3 linked regions of the Oryctolagus cuniculus genome follow. Each later gene encodes a partner of the first gene's protein in a complex. Links are inferred from orthologs where the notes say so. Each region holds a gene or a part of one and is shown on either strand. Other genes may lie near its edges.

Region 1 (3,996 bases):
ACCAGGAATGTGAATGGGGTTGGAGACCAGCATTATTTGTCTGGGGCTAGAGGAGTTGAGGGGGTGGGGCGGCAACTATCACTTTTCAGGGATCCAAGCCAGAAAAGAGGTGAAACAGGATTTGGGGTGAAGGTGTCAGTTAACAGGAGATCCATGGGAACACAGAAACTGGCTGTTAATGAGGCCCTGGGCCAAGGGGCTGCTGAGGGTTAGGTTGCCAGAAAAGGAAGAATTAGGTAAGGTGAGCCGAAGGAGAGATGGCAAGCTGGCAAGAGGAGTGGGCAGCAGATAAGGTGTGGGGGTGGGAGCAGTGGAAGAGGTGAGAAGCCAGTGGTGTCTGTTCTGACACCCCTGTTGAGGCAGGCGGGAAAAGAACAGGGCAGAGGAACTGCTCAGGGCTGTGTCACATCTCTTTCCCCTCTCCCTGACCCTCAGCACCCTTTCATGGAGCTTCGAGTCCTAGAGAACACAAAACGGTCCCGGCGGAACCTGGGCCTGGACTGTGATGAGCACTCCAGTGAGTCCCGCTGCTGCCGATACCCCCTCACGGTGGACTTTGAGGCTTTCGGCTGGGACTGGATCATCGCACCTAAGCGCTACAAGGCCAACTACTGCTCTGGCCAGTGCGAGTACATGTTCATGCAAAAGTATCCGCACACCCATTTGGTGCAACAGGCCAACCCAAGAGGCTCTGCTGGGCCCTGCTGTACCCCCACCAAGATGTCCCCAATCAACATGCTCTACTTCAATGACAAGCAGCAGATTATCTACGGCAAGATCCCTGGCATGGTGGTGGATCGCTGTGGCTGCTCCTAAGGTGGGGGACAGTGGATGCCTCCCCCACAGACCCTACCCTGAGACCCCCAGCCCTGGCCCCCATTCCCCCCAAGCCCTACAGCTCCCTCCACCTCTCCCCATGAACATCACACCTTGTTCCCTGACCAAGCAGTGTGCAATACAACAGAGGGAGGCAGGTGGGGATTGAGAGGTGAGGGGTCTGGGGAAAGGGGAAGGAAGGGCATGGTCAGGGTGGGGAGCGTCTGAGGTTTGCAGGTGAGAAGGTTTGGCAAGAAGACAGAGAGGTATAAGAGACAGGTATAGAGATGGTGGAACAAAAAGAGCCGCAGGGAGAAGGCAAAGGGATAGAGAGGCAGAAGAGACAGAGACTAGGCAGAGACAAACACTGAGAGAGACCGAAACGGAGGAATAAAGGAAAGCCCCACACCGAGCCTCCTTCCTTCCACTGGCAAGGTGAGGGGCTTGGTATGGTCTGGGGAGATCCCCCAACTACTCAGTAGGAGAGGAAATCAAAAATCCATTCTTAGCTTCTCCCTTCTTTCCCTTCATCAGTGGCCAGGGGAAGGGAAGTGAGGGCAGGGGCAAAAGTTAAGGATTTGGGAATTTATTTATTTATTTATTATGACTTTACATTTTTCTTTTGGTATTTGGCTTTACTGGAATAGGAGGACCCCTGCCCAGTGCCCCATTTTTCCTTTATTTCCCGAACCCTGCACTCCCCTAACACCCACCCGCTTAAGCACTTGTATAAAGCCTCCAGGGTTGGGAGTGGGAGTAAAGGGCAGGAGGACTGGCACGTGGAAGTTTTTAACCTGCAATCACCCTAACTCAACCTTCCTGAGCCAAACGGGTTGAACTGAAGCCACTGGTCACAGAAACAGTAAAAGGTTAGGGTTTATGAGCTGGGGTGGGGGGAGCCCTCGATATCCAGGATCAGTATGATGAGAGCCACTGAACTAACCCTTAGGCCCACCCTCATGTGTTATTTAGCCAAAGGGTGCCGCCTGCTTATGCCCAAATTCCCCTCAGCCAAGAGAGACCAAAGAGCCTGTGGAATGCCCCTGCCCCAGCCGCCACTTTCAGGTCAAAAAAACAAAAAAAGGGTATAAAGACCCCAGAGTCCCCCAGGTCTAGCAAAGGTTCAGAGGGGCCGAGAAGGCAAAAGTATGGAGGCTGAAGGTTGCAGGGCATCTGAATCCAAATCACTGCTCTGGGCTAGGGAACAGAGCCAGCAGACCAAGGTAGAAGGGATTCCGGAGCGGGGGGCATTTTAGTCCCCCAACCCCAAAGCTCAGGGTGGAAAGAGGGAGAGCAAGAGAACAGAGTGTCTATAATTATTTTTATCTTTTATTTTTGGAATCTAGCAGTCCCTGGCAGCAGGGAAGGGACCACGCAGTGGGGAAATGTGCCTGACAAGGCCAGTTAGAGCAGAGGACGGGAGGGCTAGGAAGCAGGCAGATACCGGCTGCCACTTCAAGTCACTTAGCTGAGCCCATTCGCTCCTCCCACAACCCTGACCACCCTCCTCTGGACGCACTGTGCCTCAGCTTCTTCCCCTCAATGGAGTGAGAAATAGCAGCACCCGCCACAGCCAAGAGATGAATTCTGAGCACTTACCACGGGCACTTTATGGACATAAAATACCTCTCGCTGTGGGACAGATAACCAGGGCACCAGAGTAGTGGTGAAGAGATGAGGCTAGAGGAGCACAGGCTTCAGAGTGCAAGTTCCCCTCTGCCTCCCAGCTGGACAGTGCCTGAAGCCGAGGAGCTGAGAATCTCCACACCGCATCCACACCTTACCACCAGCCTCTGGGCTCCAAGAGAGAACCAAGAGGCTGTCAGGAGGAGATGGGAAGAACTTTCCACAAGACTGTCACTCTAAGTAGGACCAGCAGTTATGGGTCTGATACAAACAGTACTGAACTGAAGTACAGCCTGTAGCTGGTAAGCGTCCCTGGAAGGCTTGTTCTTCCCAAGAGCACGACTCTCACTTGGCCAAGATGGTAAGCTTTAGCATCTTATTCCTATTCTCACAGTGAGAAAGTGATGTGAAGTTTTCCAGCAGAGGAACGGATAGCTGTTAAGCTTTTCTACTCACCTCCTCCCATACAGCAGCTATGTTAACCCCAAGTTTCTCCTCTCTGGCCCTGCTCACCCTTCTGCCCCGATCTTGGAGAACAACACACACTGACCAGCAACACCGTTTTCCCTTGGTGGAGGGAGAAGAACAGAGAAGTGAAGAACAGAAGACGCTTCCAAGTTCAAATGCCTCTTGTGCTTGGCACGGGGTGGGAGTTGGGCAGCAGGCACCAGGTAACTTCCCTCTACAGATTCTAGAGAGCTAGGGTATTGAACTTGGGGGATACTTAGAACATTGCCCCTTTAATACCACCAAATAAAGACCCTTGGGGGAGTTTCTTTTATGAACATATATCTATGAGCTGAAGTCTCATTCCCCTATTCCTTCCCTACACCCAAAGAGGCATAGGGTAAAGAGGCTTGGCACGGCCTTACAGCCCAGCGGGAGCTAGCACCCCTTTTCACCTTATGTGTGTGGACCTGGCCAGTGCCTCTCCAAACATATCATTATTAGTGTAATTATTCACTTTGTGTATTTGTTACATCATGTGCGTGATTGCCTTTGTTTGTTAAGGGTGTCTGAAGAGAATGGGACTGACGGGGGCACTGGAATGCCGGGAAAAGGACTTCTTCACTGAGATAAAGGCTTCCTGGAGGGAACCATTGCAAAAAGGCCATCTGGCAGTTTTCAAGTTATGTGACAGAGGGCAAAGATGGCCATAGGGTGCTCTGAGTTTTGGGATAGTCACATGACACAATCCAGCACTTGAACCTGAAAAAAGAAAAATAAAAGCAGTCAAAGAGTTTAGAATTTAGTACTGAGCTCTTCTCCCTAATCAAGCGCCACATTTGTACCTTGGAGACCAGGCATCAAGTAAGATCTGAAAGAGGAAACCTTGTACTCAAGGACTAAAAAGATGGGGTCCGCACAGCAAGCAAAGAAACACTAAGGGCATATGGGAAGAGGGTGGGGACATGCAGCCCCAGGGAAGATGGGCAGAGGACCTAGAATAGCTCTTCTCTAGAGTTTGACCCCAAACAGTCCCAAAGCTGATAGAAACTCTCAGCCTCCACAGAATGGCCAAGGCGGAAAATTCTCGAGGTGACCCAGCTCGTC
Region 2 (4,608 bases), on another chromosome or scaffold:
GGACGTGCAGCTCCAGCGCCGTCTGAAGTGCGCCGAGAGCCAGCCTCCCCCGACCGCCGCGCCCCTCCCTCGCGTGCTCACGACGGTAATTATAAAGCGAGAGGCGGCGGCGGCGGCGGCGGCGGCGGCGGCGGCGGTGGCGGCGGCGGCGGCGGCGGCGGCGGCGGCGGCGAGGTCACCGTTTTTACCAGCCTGCTGCACCGAAAGCGCGCGGTGCAGGTGCGGCGGCCGCGGGGCTTTGTGATTCATGCGCCCACTTTCAAAGGGGGGCTCGGGCCCGTCTGAGAGGCACCCAAACAACTGTCTTCTAATATTAGCACGGCTGTACTTCGGGATCTATTATAGTCTGTCCAGACAGATCCCATTGTAATGGGATCTTTTATTAAAAGATTAGCACTATCTCCTGCAGTTGGTGGAAAAAAATCTGTTATCACTGAGTTATTTGCAGTTGTGGAGGGGGTGGGAGGGGGGTGACGGAAGATGGGGGTGGGAGGGCCTGGGGAGGACTGGGGGAGGGGGGCGAAGGAGGGGCGGGTTTGAAATCCGTAGAACAAATCCCAGTGACCTGCGAATGTCCAAGAATTTTGTCTGCATACTTCGCTGTCTGTTGTCCTACGGGCTGGAGAAGCGAAATGAATAGCAATTTAAAAGGCAGCTTTGGAATAAACAATATAGCCTTTTCCGTGAAGTAATCGCTTTATATAAAAGGAAATATCGCCTCCTCAGTTTCATTCAGCGGTGCCAAAAATGTTATAAATGAGAGACCCGCCAACTTCCAGTGAAGAATGCCAGGCACTGTACTTAATAAACTGAGGCTACAGAAGTTCATTATCGATGTTGCAATCTTTTTTTATTCGCGGGGGGGGGGGGAGGGAGAGAGAGAGGAGAGAGAGAGAGAGAGAAGAGAGAGAGAGAGAGAGAGAGAGAGAGAGAGAGAGAGAATCGAGTCTGGAGCCGAGCTGGAGACGAGAGAGACAGAGACGCACAGGACAGAAACTAGGGGAGTCGCCGAGCGGGGAGGAGGGGGCAGACCGCCTACGTCGGCGCCCCCGCTCGGGGCTCCGACTCCAGACGCCCGGGAAGTGAAAGGGGAGAGAGAAGAAAAGGGACAGGGCGAGACTGCACCGGGGGGGAGGCCGTGTCTGAGGTGTTAAACATTTTTGTTTGCTACTCGTGGAGACCCGGGGCTTGCGTCTCCGCGCTGCTCCGCCAGGGTGGAAGGTGCCGGGGCCGGGGTTCCCAGCGACCCCTCAGGGCCGAGAGCCGCCGCCGCCGCCAAGTCCAGCACGCACAGACCCAGACACAAAACCTCCCGCCGGGTCCCCCGCGCCCAGGCTGTACGGGAGGCTGGCAGGGTCCGACCCCACCCTGAGCGAGCGAGGGCTCTCCAGCAGCCCGCGGCTCTCCCGGCGTCTGCAAAGTCTTTTGCCAGAGCCGAGGAGCGGAGAAGCAGCGGCGCGGAGACCAAGTGCCGGCTTCCCCGCTCGGCCCGCCGCCCGCTCCAGCGCCCCGCGGCGCACACCCGCACACACACACACACACACACACGCACGCACGCACACACGCCACCCCGGGCGCGGCGCGCTGCCCGCAAGCGGCGGCGTGCAGGACATGAAGTGGGTGTTCTTCCCCGCTCCCCACCCCCGAGCGTCGCCCCCACCCCCCGCCCCGGCCGCCTGCCCCCTCCCTCCCGCTCCTACGCAAATAAGAACTCGGCGATTCCCCTCCTGCCGCTTTGATTTCGGGCACCTCCGACAGATAACTGGGAAGGGTTTCCAGAAGGTGGGAAATGTCACCTGATTCACAGTGAACTTTTAAAAGCTCCCCACCCCCAAGGAGCCGCGCACACCCTCGCTCGAGGCCGCCCTCCCACAGCCCCACACACTGGGAGACCGCCCACCGCAAACCGCGGAGACCCCCGTCTAGATTTAAAGCGCGGCTGCGCCCGGCTTCTGACGTCCATTGAATCGCGCGGGCGGCCGGCTGTGAGCGCGGGGCTGCGCCCGGATCTCTGCGCCCTCCGCCGCTCGCCTCCGAGACGCGCGCCGCTCGCACCAGCCGCCCCGCCGCCGCGCCCGCTCCCCGCGCCGCCGCGCTCCTCGCCCCGCGCCTGCCCCCAGGATGGTCCGCGCCAGGCACCAGCCCGGCGGGCTTTGCCTCTTGCTGCTGCTGCTCTGCCAGTTCATGGAGGACCGCAGCGCCCAGGGTAAGCGAGGGGAGGGGGGGATGCGCTGGGCAGGCTGGGCTGAGGGCAGGGGGCTCTACTTTTCTGTGGTCTGTTCGCCCCAACGCTGCTCTTGGAAGATGTTGGACCAAGTTAGCGACTCCGCGATGGAGAGCAGTGGGGAAACACCAAGGCAGTGACACTTTGGGACCGGCAGCGGAGTTGGGAGCTCGGCTCTCCTTTAAAAGGAAAAGGAGCAGGCTGGAGTCTGCCTCAGTATTAGGGTTAGATGCTCCGAGTTCTGGCCGGGATGACTTGAGATGGTATCTCCGGGGTTGGGGACCAGCATCAGTAGTAGCCTGCGGATTTCGGCCGCCCGGTTTGCAGTCTAACCTCTGTGCCTCCCACGTCTTTTGGAGACTTTTTACAATGACCTGGGGCTGCGGAGACACTGAATTTTCTCCGGTGGCTTGGGGGACGTGGTTTCAGAAAGTTTGCCCAAACTTGGAAATGTGGGTGCTGAAAATTTTCGAGGGAAGTAGCTTTCTGCCTAATGGATGCTTCTTCCAAACCCCCTCCCCCAACCCCGCAAAAAAAAAAAAAAAAGTCAAATTATTACCCGGGAGTGTTGTGAGTTACTTTACAGTTTTTTTTTTTCCCTCTTCTTTGCTTCATTCCTCGGACTGTTAACTTTTTGTAAAACAGCGAGCAGCCCACAACTGATTTAAATGCTAAGCTGTATCAAGAGTAAATCTCTTAAGTTTGTCTTGTAAAAATAGCTGTTTCTTTCCATTAGTCTTGGGCAGAATTTTTAAAATAATACTAGCAGCCTGTGGTCCAGTTATTGTTAAAGTCTTACTTCCTGAACCAAATCTGGGTGTTAAAAGAGGGGAAGGGGGAGAGATTCCTTGCACAGGTTTCTTCGTGCTAGGTGGGAGCTAGGTGTACGGAGCCGGGACCCGGCAGGACGCTCGCCCCGGGCCGAGGTGCCCTGCCCGCGTGAGCGTGAACGTTTCCAGGGTGTGAGCGACCCCGCCGTCTGCACCGCCCTGCGCCCGGCTGCCCGCGTCCAGGGACGTGGGCGCCAGGGAAAGCAGCCCTCGGAGATTTCGAAAGCTCCCGGTGGCCGCGGGCGTGCTCAGGGGCGGCGGATTGCAAAACGGGCCCGTCGGGCGGGCTGCGCCTCGAGGCCGCGCGGGGCAGCTCCGGATTGCTTTTTTGCTTTCATTTTTCGCAAGTGCCTTTTTGCTTGATCTGTTCCTGCGCGTGCGTGCGTGTGTGTGTGTGTGTGTGTGTGTCTCCTTCTCCTCTCTCTCCCTCTCCTCTCCCGTTCTCTCACTTTCTTAACCCCTGTCACAAATAATTCCCGTGCCGCCTACATGAAACCAACATGTAAAAACATCCGTCGCATCCTGTTTTTGTCAGGTTCTTTAATCTGCCCTTCGAGTCGCTGCAGGTTATGAAATGGGACGAATAAAAGTAAACAGTCTAGTAAAAGTCAATGCAAGCTGCACGTGTTGTGTCTGGGTCACTGGTTAACTGACATTGATATGGCTGGGGCGCTCTGGCTTCTGCCTCGCCCTGCCTCCCCTCGTCTGCCCCCCACCTCTGGGATCAGGGCTTCCCCCCCTCCTTCCCAACCCCTCCACCCCCTCCTATTTATTTGCCGCGCGTCTCCCCCGCCGCGCGCCCTGCCCTCCCTGCACCACGCTCACCCCCTCCCCACGCCCGCCGTGTCGTCTGTGCTCGCTCGCCCGCCGCCTCCCTCTCCTCGTCCCCCGCCGCTCGCCGGCGCATCCACCTCCCACCCCCGACTCTTCACAGCTGGGAACTGCTGGCTCCGCCAAGCCAAGAACGGCCGCTGCCAGGTCCTGTACAAGACCGAGCTGAGCAAGGAGGAGTGCTGCAGCACGGGCCGCCTGAGCACCTCGTGGACCGAGGAGGACGTGAACGACAACACGCTCTTCAAGTGGATGATCTTCAACGGGGGCGCCCCCAACTGCATCCCCTGTAAAGGTGGGACTCTTCCTCCCCAACCTCAGGCCCTCAGCAGAGGGCGTCTTACCCTGGGCTTCCCCACTACCTACCTGGGGGGGGGGGGGGGGACTGGAACCAAGAGAGCTGTGTGGGTGGGCTCCTCCTTCCTACGCCCAGCTCTGAGACGCCATTGGGAGCCATTCCTGCCTGTCACAACTCTTCGCAAAACAGAGTCCGCGGAGGTCCCCGGACTTCTGAGCCACGTGTGGAGACAGATTTGGGTATGGGGCCCTGCCCCCCTCCAACCCACTAAAAGAGGGCCTGGGGGCTCCTGAGAACAAACTCAGAGCTACAGGATTGCACAAGGCACCAGCACGACCTCCGGGCTGACCTACGGACCGCCCGGCCCTGGTTGTAATCCCTACCTCTTTCCAATCCATAGAAACGTGTGAGAACGTGGACTGTGG
Region 3 (4,748 bases), on another chromosome or scaffold:
ACCTCGACTCAAATACAACTTTCTCATTTCATCTTCACATTCTCATCAATTAGACAAAGTAGGTATCACTCCTGTTTTCTGCATAACTTGTGGTGAAGTTGAGATTAAAAATCCAATCAGATAACCAACTGCGCTTCCTTTACCATAAGTTACAACTTTTCCTGATTACACATAGGAATCTAAGCTAATAATGCACAACTGTACTTACACACAACAGAATAAAAACTAATGGAATGTGTAGTCAAGTGGAACTCACTTAATCAACAAGTATTTGTGCAGAATAGAATATAAAACATAGCGCTAGGTGTTGAGATCATAAAAGAAATAGAAAGCAGAAGCCCTGTCCTCAGGGTGCCTGTACTGTCCCTGAGCACTACACGTAAGTACAGTTAAGTAACTGTAAGTGCTACACAGTCCAGGGACAGAGTTCAAGGAAAATTAAACTAGTACATTAAGTCAGGACCAGAAATTTGTGTCTCCACACCCGTCAAAAAGGGGCAAAATTAATTATGTATTGAAAAGGTTGAACCATCAGGAGTGTCAGTGGGAAAAAGGAAGTCATGGGAACCGAAGGTCTGCAGTAGTGAGAAGTGGGGTGGCTACTCAGAGATGGCCCAACTCAGAAGCCTCGAGCATCGTTCTTAGTGCACACACATGGGGCTCCGGTAAGCCCTGGTGAAGTGGCAGGGGAAGACTGGTTGAGCAGCAGCTCACAGGAAAGCCATGACAGAGGAACACTAGAAAGCAACCAGATTTGGAGATCACCGGCAGGACTAGGCTGACGGCTATCCACCAAGGAAGGAGGGGGTACTCGAGGCATCAGCACAAAGAGTCGGACTGTTTGCAAAGAAAAAAAGTCATGAAATTGCAGAAAGGAAGCAAAACAGCATTCTCGCGTGGGGTATAATGCAGGCACGGTGGAACTAAGCTGCACTAGGGACAAGGAATCAGCTCTAGAGAAATCCATGTTGGAGAGAGCAGAAGCTGGGCACAGAAATGCAAAACAGATCCCCAGACAATAAGGAAAAACCACCAGTCTTAAAAAGGGAAGCCAAAAAAAAAAAAAAAAAGAACTCTTGGGTTGCCTCAGAAAGCATGAAGGCACAGACGGAACCCGAACACACCTAAGCAGGGCGCCGGGAAAGTGGGGTGGTCTGGGCTGTGAGTAACCAGCATCCAGGCCAGCTCTGTATTGTATGTGTGCCCACACAGACAGTCAACTCCAGGGCACCACCCAGCAGCGTTCTGTCCCTCCAATTAAGTCGAGTATGTGCTACCCTAGGTGGAAAACAGTGACTGAACTACGTCACTCAAGTTAATAATGGTGTGGAAAGTTGCCTGCTTGATGCAGAACTGTATCAGTGTATCCCACCTGTCCACAGTTATCTTGCCTCCCTCCTGAGGCCAGGTCAAAACCCTCTGTTTCCTCTAATACAGGCCCATGGCAAGGGACTCAGGAATGTGTCAGGATGTAGAAAGAAGTCAACCTAACACTCAAATTGTGAGGCCAACATCTTAAGGGATGAATACCAACTGCTTGTTAGATGATGGAAAAAGAAAAAATGGGCTGTGCCAGATAGTTGGTGTATGGGTTTTGGAAACTGAGAGAGCTGACAGCAAATCCTAACCTCAGCACTTAGTAACTGGTCCTCACCTCTCTGCAGCTCAGCTTTCCCAACTACCAACGGGGCAAAGGCCAGCAGCCCTTAAGGGTTAGTGGCAGAGACTGGACAATACGCTTTGGCGTGCTTTTTGCATTTGCATCACAGTGGGCTCTTAATAGACAGTAGCTATTAGGATAGCTGGGCACCGGTCTTGAATTTGCTTTTGTTTAACACTTGTTCCATTTCGCTGCATTTTCACCCAAGTTCTCTATTTAGCTTCTATATTTTAGTTCAGTCTCTAACAGAGTTAGGCACTCCACCCTTCGCCAGGGTAGGCACCCACCACCTACTCCAACCTGGTTTAGCGACCAAAAAAGCTGGGCAAACAGTCTCACTTGAAAAGCGGCTACACAGACGTCTGATTCAAGCTGCTAACTGCCACTCAAGAAAAGGAACATCAGGAGCGACGCTCCTTCAAAGAAATAAAAGCGTTTCCATTCAAACACTCCCAACCCCGCGGAGTGAGCAAACGTGCAAGTTTCTACTACGAAAACAATCCGTAGCCTTCTGGCGGCTGGACTCGCTTCAACACTCCCAGACGCACGGAGAGGGAAACAATCCGCGCATCTCGTGCCGCCGCCGCCTCCTCAACACAAAGCTTCGCAGCTCCCCTTGCCAAGCCACCCCGGCCCGAGAGGCAGCCGCTCCCCGCAGGTCGGCTCGGGGTCGCGGCCGGCGCCAAAGCCCGCGCAGCCCTGCCGCCCCGGGGGTCTCCACCACGCGGCGGCCCCTCGCATCGCTCCGGAACGCCCTCGAGGCTCAGGGCTCACAGCCCGCCCGGGAAGCCTCCCCGGACCCCAACTCCGCCCCGGGACTCGGAAGAAGCCCCAGGCCCAGTCCTGCCTGGGGGCAGGGGTGCCCGGAATAAGGCCACGCAGTGACCTGGAGGACGCGCCGGGGCAGCCTGGCTCGGCCGGTCCGGTCCAGCCTCACCCTCCGCCCCTCGCCCACTCACGCCCCAGAGGGCAGCCCCCGACCTCGGACGGCTCCGCCTGACGCCGCCTCTCCTCCGGGGGCCCCCGGAACCCGGGCGGCCTTGGGTTGTCGGCCACGTCCACGCGCACTCGGACACACACCCCCGCCGCTCCTCCGCTGCCCGCCTCAGCTTCGCCTGGCGGCCACCAGCCCCTGAAAGCCCAGCCCGGGCCCCGGCGCCGCCACCTGCGCCCCCGGCCCCGCGCCATGTTTGAGAAAGAGCAGGAGCGAGCCAGAGGCCGGGCCCGGCCCGCGCGCCCCCGCGGCCGCCCGCCTGCCCGCCCGCCGCGCCGGGGCTCACCCGTTGCCCCCGGGAGCAGCGTCGCTGCCGCCGCCAACACGAACAGGAGCAGCCGCCGGGGACGCGGAGCAGCGGCCGCCGCCTCCATAGTCCCGCTGCCGCCGCCTGTGGCCCGGCCCGGCCCGGCCGCCGCCTCGCCTCAGCAAGCCTCGCCTCGCCCCACCTCCCCCGCCGCCGCGGCGGCCTCGCTCCGGCCCTTTGTAACTGCTCCGGGGACGCGCGCCCATTGGCTGCCGGGCCCCCGCCGGCCCCGCCTCCCCGCCGGCTGCGAGCGGCCCAGCGGGACCAGGCCGGGAGCCCCGCCTGCGGGCCCGCCAGGCGACCAATCCGGGGCAGCGGGCTCCGGCCTCCGGCCACGCCCCACACACTCCCCGGGGGCGGTGCCGCCAGACCCCTTCCCCAGCCGGAGCGAGCTCCGGGTTCCCGAGGCCGGGTGGGGGTTGGCTCTCCCGAGCCCCAGTGGGCGATGGGTGTGTCTGCTTCTGGCTAGCTTTCGAAAAAAGGCTGCGGCCGCTCGCCGCTCTTTTCTTCTGGCCTCCTCTTAGACACCAAAGAGCTGGTCCTGACCCAGCCCCACCCTGGCCCCCCCATCCACAGCCCTGCACCTGCAGTCGGTAACACAAGCCGCCCACATCCGCACTGTCGCGGAGCGCTTGCATCCACTTCAGCGTCCCCTCCCCAGACCCACGCCTCAAGTTTCAACATCACCTTTCTCAGTGCCCATCACATGCGACTCATCCTGCTCTTGGCGTACACCCCATACCTAGCCCCCTCCTCAAATTCCAGGCCCAGAAAGTTCTCAGATCTCAATCTTAGATCCCAGAGCCCGAATCCAGACACACACCTCAAATAGCCTCCCTCCAGATCACGCCCAGAACAGGGACCCAAGCCACTCTCCTACCCTCTTTTCGACTTCCTGATTCAGGTTGGAAAGGGAGAGCCTGCATCCCACCCTCCAAGGAAGGGAATCTCCGCTCTCAGCCCCAGCTCCTCCCGGGCGGAGGGGAGCAATCATCGTTACCTTGAGCTGTCTCTGATTCGCCTGTGTAATAATTCTGAGGTGTCACTGAAAACCCAAATAAACTCCACTACGTTTTCATTCTGAATTCCTAATTTACTGTGAGACGCTCCACCCACCTTCCCTCTGGGATGCCAAAACTAACTCCAGATTTGTAATTCTTCCTGTCAGACTAGTGCCTTCTTCAGACACAAACACAGCCAAGGAGGCTGTGTTACGCAGCACGGAGAACGATTCTCCGAAGGACCTTTTAAGGAGAAAATGTGAATTTTCTGAGCGATTGGAATTTGGAATTAAATAAAGCTTGGTAATCAGAATCAGAACCAGCCGTCTAGTTGGGATTTGCAAATTCCTTGAGAGCTAGTAGGTGAGAATGGTACCCGCCTGAGGAAGTTGGTGAGCTGTGAAGGGGAAGGATGGGGATGTGGGAGCTGGGATCTGAGACCCGCTGGGTTCCTGTCCCTGCAAGGACACTCTAGCAAGTCAGTGAATTCTGTTTGCTGGCTTGTGTTTGTCTATATTTGAAAGGCACAGAGACAGTGACACATACAGAGAGAGATCTCTCTAATGCTGGTTCAACAGCTGGGGCGGAGCCAGACAGAAGCCAGGAGCTGGGAATTCAGTGCGAGTCTCCCATGTGGGTGGCCGGCACCCGAGTACTTCCCAACATCACCTGCTGCCTTGCAGGGCACACATTAGTAGGAGGCTGGATAGGAAGCAGGGACTTGAACACAGGCATTCCCCTGTGGGATATAAGCGTCCCACGCATCAGCTCAACCACTGCACCTGC

Evidence for each region.
Region 2: the proteins of GDF11 (region 1) and FST are in contact, whole or in part, in a crystal structure (PDB 5JHW), measured with the Homo sapiens proteins. The link is inferred for Oryctolagus cuniculus from reciprocal best matches to the Homo sapiens genes GDF11 and FST. Residues at the interface, in NP_005802.1 of Homo sapiens: Asn299, Leu300, Gly301, Leu302, Glu310, Arg312, Asp328, Trp329, Ile331, Ala332, Lys334, Arg335, Tyr336, Lys337, Tyr347, Met348, Phe349, Met350, Pro354, His357, Gln361, Ile380, Asn381, Leu383, Phe385, Asp387, Lys388, Gln389, Gln390, Ile391; in NP_037541.1 of Homo sapiens: Leu34, Arg35, Gln43, Val44, Leu45, Tyr46, Lys47, Thr48, Arg60, Ser62, Asp72, Asn73, Leu75, Phe76, Met79, Ile80, Leu134, Asp135, Arg149, Gln153, Pro154, Glu155, Val180, Val181, Asp182, Gln183, Tyr188, Val190, Thr191, Asn193.
Region 3: the proteins of GDF11 (region 1) and TGFBR1 are in contact, whole or in part, in a crystal structure (PDB 6MAC), measured with the Homo sapiens proteins. The link is inferred for Oryctolagus cuniculus from reciprocal best matches to the Homo sapiens genes GDF11 and TGFBR1. Residues at the interface, in NP_005802.1 of Homo sapiens: Phe322, Ala324, Phe325, Gly326, Trp327, Trp329, Ile330, Met382, Tyr384, Phe385, Asn386, Asp387, Ile392, Ile396, Pro397, Met399; in NP_004603.1 of Homo sapiens: Ile78, Pro79, Asp81, Arg82, Phe84, Ala87, Pro88, Ser89, Ser90, Lys91.

The regions. Positions count from the first base shown.
Region 1 is NC_091442.1:58,574,203-58,578,198, forward strand, and holds the end of GDF11 (growth/differentiation factor 11), read left to right. Parts: intron 1-435; coding exon 436-816; 3' UTR 817-3,687; downstream 3,688-3,996. UniProt on the Homo sapiens protein: Secreted signal that acts globally to regulate anterior/posterior axial patterning during development. May play critical roles in patterning both mesodermal and neural tissues. It is required for proper vertebral patterning and orofacial development.
Region 2 is NC_091445.1:74,276,385-74,280,992, forward strand, and holds the start of FST (follistatin), read left to right. Parts: upstream 1-1,732; 5' UTR 1,733-2,121; coding exon 2,122-2,206; intron 2,207-3,988; coding exon 3,989-4,180; intron 4,181-4,583; coding exon 4,584-4,608. UniProt on the Homo sapiens protein: Multifunctional regulatory protein whose primary function is to antagonize members of the transforming growth factor beta (TGF-beta) superfamily including activin, myostatin, GDF11 or bone morphogenetic proteins (BMPs).
Region 3 is NC_091432.1:202,740,623-202,745,370, reverse strand, and holds the start of TGFBR1 (TGF-beta receptor type-1), read right to left. Parts: upstream 3,122-4,748; 5' UTR 3,029-3,121; coding exon 2,941-3,028; intron 1-2,940. UniProt on the Homo sapiens protein: Transmembrane serine/threonine kinase forming with the TGF-beta type II serine/threonine kinase receptor, TGFBR2, the non-promiscuous receptor for the TGF-beta cytokines TGFB1, TGFB2 and TGFB3.